2 linked regions of the Canis lupus familiaris genome follow. The protein of the gene in region 1 interacts with the protein of each later gene in a biochemical or structural test. Links are inferred from orthologs where the notes say so. Each region holds a gene or a part of one and is shown on either strand. Other genes may lie near its edges.

Region 1 (3,905 bases):
TGGCAATTACTCATTTACTAATTTAGCACTGCAGACCGACGGTGGGAGCACAAGCATGTGCTTATGCAGGCCTACCTGAAAGGACCACAAAGGCGCCTATTACGGGTAACTCAAGTGGCACCTAGGCGGCTGTGAACACCCAAGTAACCTCTGTGTCTCCGGCATGCTCTGTGCCACTCGCCTTACACTTTCCTCTACCCTCTACCCTCACCTATCATGACGTCCTCACTCAGCTCCACAAGGAGAGGCTTTGAAACTAGTCCAAATGTCATATACTAAGATTAATGGCTTCGGCGTCACTTCAAGCTTACAATTCTCATCGGCCAAGAAGAAAGTTCCGAAGGAATTAATCTCTGTCTCATATCCTCCACAACAAACTTCATTTATAAAACACAGGTGTTCTTAGAAAAGTGGACTGTAAAAATATCTTTATCTTTCCTGTGAAATCAATCCTATCTATCCATTAAATTTCATTAGAAAATGGGAAATGCGATAAAATCCATAAGAAACACAGGTTGAGCAAGAAAGGCCTAAGACGACAGAATGGAAGGCAGCACGCAGCTTGGATGCCTCATGGCCCTTGTCCAAAAACTTCGGAGCACTGTCCCAAATTAAGGCAGAAGAAAGGAACAAGAGTTACGAGGTGTTTAAGTATAGTGCACCACAGCTTGTCTTCCCTCAGAGGTTCAACCCTCGGGAACCCTCTCTGCACATGACTTACAGACACCAGAACCACAAGCAGCCCAGGTGGCTCAGCAGTTCAGTGCCACCTTCGGCCCAGGGTGTGATCCTGGAGACCTGGGATCGAGTCCCACTTCGGGCTCCCTGCATGGAGCCTGCTTCTCTCTCTCTCTCTCTCTCTTTCTCTCTGTCTCTCATGAATAAAGAAATTAAATCTTTAATAATTAAAAAAAAAAACCAGAACCACCATTTCACAGACTCATGTAAAACATGAACACCATGAAAGGTGACACCATAATTTAGAAGGGGAAAGAAAGATCTGTAAAGTTCCAGGTGAAAGGCATCCATACCTGTGGAAGTGCAGTATTGAGCTGCCTCTGCAAGGAATCTCTTTCATGCCCGACCTCATGTAACTTCCCCTGGGTTAATGCCAGCGTTTCCTGAGTCTCTCTCAGCGTGTCCAGAAGACGGTCCCTCTCCTCCAGCATGGACACCATCAACTGTTCGAAATGTGAATCTGCATCTGGCTGCGAAGGAGAGCTGGACCCACGGCTCCCACTTCCTCCTGGCAGGCCTTCTGCTTCACTGATGGTCGGCATCACCTCGCACATCATCTTGAAATAAAACACCCAGACTCCAGTCATTAAGTGCAAAATAAAGGCTCCCACAAACCTGCAACTTTATTAGCTCTCCGTGCTGCTCATAAAATGAAGGTTGACAGCCTCGTTATTCTCAGATCCGACTGTTACACTCTGAGTATAAGTAAGCGGAAAAAAACATACACAGGCGAATCCTGAGTGTGGGAACAGATTAATACGTGGGATAGTGCAGGGCAGGGTAGAGACCTCACAGACTACCCCTGGAGTACAGAACCAACCCTGGGGCGTTTTGTCTGCAAAGCTGTACTTTCTGGTTGTTGAAAACAAGTGTGCTTCTGCAACTTACTTTTTCCCCTTTATTTCCCGGTTCGGGGAGAGAAAGTCAAAACACATGCCACCCAATCATGTTTCGGGAAAAGCACAGAAGGAGCATACAGCCAGTAAAACTGACAAGTACAAAATGCATCAGGCATCTTGGAGGAATGTGTGCAGTCAGCTCCCGAGGAGGACTGGCGGCTCCCTCGGCTTCGGGCCGGACTGGGTGAGCGCTCAAAGGCACCGGATTCGTTAAGGGCCGGGAAAGGTGTTTGTCAGTGGCTGCAAAAGGTGTGACGGTCAGGCAACCCAACTTACGTAAGTTTACGGCCGGAGGGAAAAAAAGAAAAGAGTATTAGAAAGGAAACTTGCACACCGGGCATGGAGCAGGTCGGTGCGGCCGCGGACGGCTAGGAGGGAGCGGAGGAGGAAGCAAGACGGAAGAAAGGACAGGGAGGAGGACGGAGGAGAAGGGAAAGGGGAGAAGGAGACGCCGCCAGCGAGGCCCACAGCAGGCGGGCGCCGCGGGAGGAGGCTGGAGCCCCGGGGGCGGCGACGCCGCGACCGCCGCGACCGCCGCGACCTCCTCGCCCCTCGCCCAGCGCCGCGCTGCAGGGCCCCGGGCCCCGGACCCCGGACCCCGGACCGCGGGGCACCGCTGACAGCTGGAGCGCAGCCCGGGCCGCGGCTTCCCCGGCCACAGGTCCTCGGCCCCCGAGCCCGGCGCGGGGCTGACCCGGGGCTGACCCGGGGCTGACCCGGGGCTGACCCGGGGCCCCCGGGGCGCCGCGGCCCCAGGAGCCCGGCCTCGGGGCGCCCCGCCGGGGCCCACCGCCTCCGCGCCCGGGGGCTGACAGCGAGCGCCGCCGCGGGGAGGGGGCCGCCGCGGGGAGGGGCCGGCGCCCGGGCGCCCGCGGCCCCGCTCCGCCCCGCTCCGCCCCAGCCTGCCTCAGTCTCCCGCTCCTTACCTTGCTCGCCGGCGGGAGCGGGCGAGGAGGCTCCGCGGCGCCGTGCGGGCGGCTGCTCGCTCCGGGCGAGCTCGGGGCCCGACGAAAGCGGCCCGCGCCCGCGCCCGCCGGCCCCGGGCCCGCAGCCCCCAGTCACCAAGGCCGGCCCGCGGCCGGACACTGCCTGAGCGCAGGAGGAGCGGGCCCGGCTGCGCGTCGCCGGCGTCAACGTGCCCGACGTCGGGCGCGTCGGCGCAGCGTCAGCGCCGAGCGCCGCCGGCCGGCCCCGCCCCCCGGGGGTTGGGGAGCGCCGCGGAGGCCGGGCGCGCAAGCCCCGCCCACTCGAGGGGCGGGGCGGGTCCCCCGGCGCCCATTGGCCAGGTGCGGGCGGAGCCCCGCCCCCGGCCCCGCCCCCCAGGTAGGGGCCTTCTCCACCGAGCCGGAGCTCACCTACCGCGGCTCCGGCCGCCCAGAGGCCGTTGGCAACGTCTACCGTGCGTCGGGTTCTGAGCCAGCGCCTTCCTCGAGGCGGGTGCGCCCCGGCGCGAGACACCTGCTGGCTGCCTCCTCGGGGTCGGACCCTCCTCGGGACCGACCGTTCCAGGACTCAGAAGGTCGCGGCGTCTACGCGGGGCCCTTACCTGCGATTCCTGCGGATGCCCAGTGGGCACCGTTTGATGCGGAGATTCCTGGGCGCGGCGTGGGGAGTGCAGGCTCGCCCCTGCGCGGTGGCCTGGGCAGGTCAGCGGAGCCCGCGGCGCTCAGCGCCCCACCTGTATGATGTGAAAACGACACGGCCTTACTCCTGGGCTGCTAGAGCAAGTGGGATCCCACGGGGGGCGGCTCCATTCACGTCCTTATTCATACTCACTCATTCATTTCCTTCTTTGGGCTACTTTGTGCTTTCCAGGTACTACATCATGAATGCACATTATTTTTATCATTAGGGAAGCCCCCTCCCTCCCCCACCCCCCCAATAAATGTTCCTTTAGTAAAACCTAGGCAAACATAAATCATGGAAAATAGCTTTTGGGAAGCTAAAATGCCTTTTCTGTGTACCTATACCACCCAACTAAACTATTTCCCCAAAGTATTTATCCAAAACCTGTTTTAGAGATGGAGTGGCACCCTTGTAAGGCTTAGTCAAGAAAACGAGCCATTTTCCCTAAAATGGTTTTGCTCCAACTCTCCCGTCGAAGGCTTGATAAAGAAAACCCAGGAATGTGGGAGGGGAGGGGATAGATAGACCAGTACTATGGCCAGGGTCGTGTTTTTACAAATGTGCCCACCAGCCTCAGCTCTCTCATGATGTGGTTGGTTGTCAACCATAAGCATGGCCCAGGCCACCTCTCCTAGTTTCTAG
Region 2 (3,799 bases), on another chromosome or scaffold:
CCCCACCCCGCCCACAGCTGTGCTGAAGCGGAGGCTGCTCTTGCCCCCACGCCGGCTCAAGCGCTCCCGCCGGAGACCCCTTCTCCCGCCCTCGCCGGACAGCGGCCCAGACGGGGACAGCTCCGACTGACCTGCCCCAGCCCTGCCACTGCAGTGGTGGTGGTGAAGGGGACCTTTGCCCAGGAGGCCGCGACCTCTGCCACGTGGACCCTGCGCGGGACCGCCCCCTGGCGGCCGGCCGGAGCGCTTCCCGCCTAAGCATCGCAAAGGGGCTTGTCCCTCCGCCTCCGGTGTGGCTTGCTACCGAGGGTTGAGGGAAGGGGCCCACAGCCTCCCTTGCCTGTATTTCTAATTAAATTATTTTGGTAGAGTCTGGGGCTGAGCTGGTGCATCTGCCACACAGACACTCCCACCTAGGACCCTGTTCCGGGCCATTGAAGTGGGCTTTTACCAAAAAATCATTAGGCCCCCACCAGCCTGCCTCCACCTGCCCACTTGGCCTTGGCCAGTTTTAGTAGTGGGATAGAACCCGACCTGCTGCCATGATGGGGAGGGGGAGGCAGCGTTAGCGACTGAAACCTTATTTCCCAGCTCCTTTTCTAGAACACAAGGGCTTTCGAGTTTCAGGTCTGGAACAGTTGTGGTCTTCATTTGCTTCATGCTCTTGCCAGGTTTTTTTCTCCCTTTTGTGTCTGCCACCTCCCCAATACCCCCTGCTCCCTCCGATTCTGTAAGCATCAGCAAGAGCACACGGTCACTTATTTATTTTTGATACAAATGTACATGACACATGTCTTGACAGCCCACCCACCACCACACAGGTAGAGCCTGGCCCCAGGGGGACAGGGAGAGCTGGTAGGCACTGCCATCTGCCTCTCCAGCTCCCAGGCTGCAGCTCAGATTCCAGATACCCAGATACCACAGGGCAGGTGCTGGCCTCTCAGAGGTTATGGGAAGGGGGCTCTCAGCTGAGTCAGGGACCCCGGGGAGCCAGCCCCAGGCTCAGACGCTTAGTTCTCTGCCCCAGCCAGCACATCCTCCTCCACAAGGGAGGGGGTGGAGAAATGTAGGGAAGTGGTTTTTGTTAGAAGTTCATAGAGAAAGGGGTAGGAGTGGGGGGACAGATGAGGGGAGGTGATGGGTTGGACCCCAGCTGGTTACCAGCAGTCCCTGGCCCCAGGATGGGGAAGGGGGGATGATCCCCAACACTGGTCCTGCTGTTCTGGTCCCCTCACCCTTCATAGAACTCCAGATGGGCCAGGCCTCCGGAACGGCACTGCCGCCCCGCACACTCACACACAAGCACGCAGGGACACTCAGTTACCACAATGTTAAAATTAAGGAGTGGAAGAGAGAGAGAAAAAAAAAACATTTTCCAGTGTTTGTTTGCTGCTAGGGACCCTGGGAACACAGGCTGGGGCCAGTGATCTCGGCAGGGGCCATTTGGCATTCAAGGACAGCAGCAGGGGGGCTGGTGGCTACAGGATGGGGGGACATCCACAGAGATTATGTACAAAGGAAGAGATGCCCCCGTTCAGCCCCCAGTAGGGCTGAACTGGCTCATGGGGGTGGGGTGCCTGTAGGGGGAACCGTCCTACTTGGAGTGTCCCTACCCGACCCTCTGCTGGGGGTGCCCCAGAGGGCCAGGGGCTGGGAGTGATACCTTACAGGCCCCTGCACGCTAGAAGGGGGGGAGGGGAATGCTATGTACAGGAGGAGGTGTGTGGAATGTGGGGGACAGAAGCTCCTGCTACCCCACCTCCCTATCCTTGGGGGGCTCGAGGAAGGCGGGCACCGGGGCACCTGGCTGCCAGGGGAGGGTGGCAGCACTGAGGGTACTTGTGCCAGCAGCTCTGTGAGGGTGGGGATTAGTGTCTGGAGTGGCCCAGCTCCCATGGCCAGTGAGGTCCCAGGGTGCAGGTGAGGGTGCAGGGAGAGTTGTCACTGCTTCTTTTCTCGGGTGGTGATGGTAACCAGCTGCTTGGCGGCCTTGGCGATGTCATAGGCGCACTGGATCACCTGCTGAGTCAGCAGCTGGAAGTCCACAGGGGCACCGGGCTCTGGGGGCACGGTCTTCCGGCATTCACTCTGCAGCCGGTAGGCGCTGGCATTGAGCAGCCGCAGTGAGCTGCGCACAGGCTCCAGGGCTGGCCTCTGGAGGGGAGGCAGGAGTTGGGCCTTGAACTTCAAACAATGAGCCTCGAACATGGCCCAGTGTGTCCTCATCTCCACCTAGGTAGCAGTCACATTCCCTGTACCTGCCCCACCCCAAGACTTTCTGGCCCCAGTACCTTTGGGAAGAGAGAGGCCATCTCAGTCACAGCCAAATGGATCTTCTCTGAGCAGGGCACAAAGCTTTGGGAGGAGGGGAGGGTAAAAATTAGGAGAGTTTGCAGCGACAGTGGAACAGTGGCCCCCTCTTACCCTCTCCAATGCCCAGGGGCTGCTAGGAGCCTTGCATCCCACCCGCATACCTGTCATGCTTGAATTCTTGGGCAGCCCGCAACAATTCCTGAATGTTCTTGGTGACCTGTTCCGTCTTCAGGATGACATCCTCTGTGCTGGGAAGTCCAGGGTCGAGATCTCCGTCCAGGCTCTCCAACTCTGGGTGGAAGTCTTCTTCCTTGCCCAGCTCAAGAAACCTCTTCCCTTCCAGTCTGAGGTCAGGGTTAGAAAGAGATATTCCAGTGGTGAGGCTGCTTGCCTGCACCCTCCCAGACACTCCAGCACCCACTCAGCCTTCTTCCCTGGGGTGCCTCACCCAAGCAGCGGGTCCCCACTTTGCGTGTTCTCATAGTCACTGTCAGCACCGCTGCCGTGGCGGGAAAGCTTGCTCTGGAGGATCAGGGAAGGGGTAGTAGGTGACATACATGTTCATAGACCCACATGGCCTGGCCTGTCCGTTTCCATGCACACATCTCATTCAGCCTGTCCCTCGGGCACTAGTGATGGGAACTGGGAATGGGAATGTTACCGTGTGACGGCTTCCTTCCTGGGAACAGGACAGCAGTGGGGAGGAGGGAGTGAAGGGCACAGCTGAGGCTGACACCCCCTTCCGGATCTGAAACCCAGGGGGACTGGAGTCAGTTCTTCCTCCCTGCCACCTGTCTTCCAGTTTCCCAGCAGTAAGGAGGAGGGGGGTGACACGTGTATCTAGTCATCCCTGTGCCCAGCAGCTGGCACAAAACCTGGCACCCACTGGGACTAAGAACCAATCTGCAGAAATGGATCCACTTCCCCCAAGCCCTGCTTACCCGGTAAAGGCCAGCAGGGACGTGTACTGAATAGATGGCATCATCCTCCAGCTCCTGGGGGGATGGCACAATAGGCATCACAGAGGACCCTATGGCAGCTCCAACCCTGTTTCCCCCAATCCTTGACACCCAGAGGCAACTCACAGTGCTGTGGAAAGGCTGTAGCCGGGTGGTAAGCTCGTCCCCAGGTGGGCCCCCAAAGGGCTTCAGGGCAGAGCCTGGTTCATACATGGAGAAGGCCTGGCGGTCCCTGCGGTGGGCACTCCCACCAGGCCCCATCGATGTATGTTCTGCTCTGTCGCTGGGCAGTGGGGGTGTGGGCACTGGCCCCGGCGGCTGCCGAATCTGCAAGTTCTCTGCCTGCAGCTTGTGGATCTGAGAGCGCACGGTGGTGTCAGAACCTCCAGAGGCTCCAGGAGTACCCCCACCTCTGGGGGCAGGGGATCCTCTAGGACCAGGATGCTAGAAGCCCCACTCCCACCAAGCCTGCTGCCCTTACCTCCCTCTGTAGCCTCCGGAGCTCATCACTCAAGCTGCTGTTGACC

Evidence for each region.
Region 2: the proteins of PPFIA1 (region 1) and GIT1 form a complex in vitro, tested with the Homo sapiens proteins (2 studies listed by BioGRID). The link is inferred for Canis lupus familiaris from reciprocal best matches to the Homo sapiens genes PPFIA1 and GIT1.

What each region holds. Positions count from the first base shown.
Region 1 is NC_049239.1:48,513,521-48,517,425, forward strand, and holds the start of PPFIA1 (liprin-alpha-1), read right to left. Parts: upstream 2,658-3,905; 5' UTR 2,564-2,657; intron 1,296-2,563; coding exon 1,032-1,295; intron 1-1,031. UniProt on the Homo sapiens protein: May regulate the disassembly of focal adhesions. May localize receptor-like tyrosine phosphatases type 2A at specific sites on the plasma membrane, possibly regulating their interaction with the extracellular environment and their association with substrates.
Region 2 is NC_049230.1:43,647,302-43,651,100, forward strand, and holds the end of GIT1 (ARF GTPase-activating protein GIT1), read right to left. Parts: coding exon 3,754-3,799; intron 3,630-3,753; coding exon 3,399-3,629; intron 3,309-3,398; coding exon 3,255-3,308; intron 3,062-3,254; coding exon 2,975-3,061; intron 2,836-2,974; coding exon 2,762-2,835; intron 2,658-2,761; coding exon 2,475-2,657; intron 2,356-2,474; coding exon 2,292-2,355; intron 2,155-2,291; coding exon 1,942-2,154; 3' UTR 750-1,941; downstream 1-749. Other genes in the region: TP53I13 (tumor protein p53-inducible protein 13), read left to right, coding at 18-130. UniProt on the Homo sapiens protein: GTPase-activating protein for ADP ribosylation factor family members, including ARF1.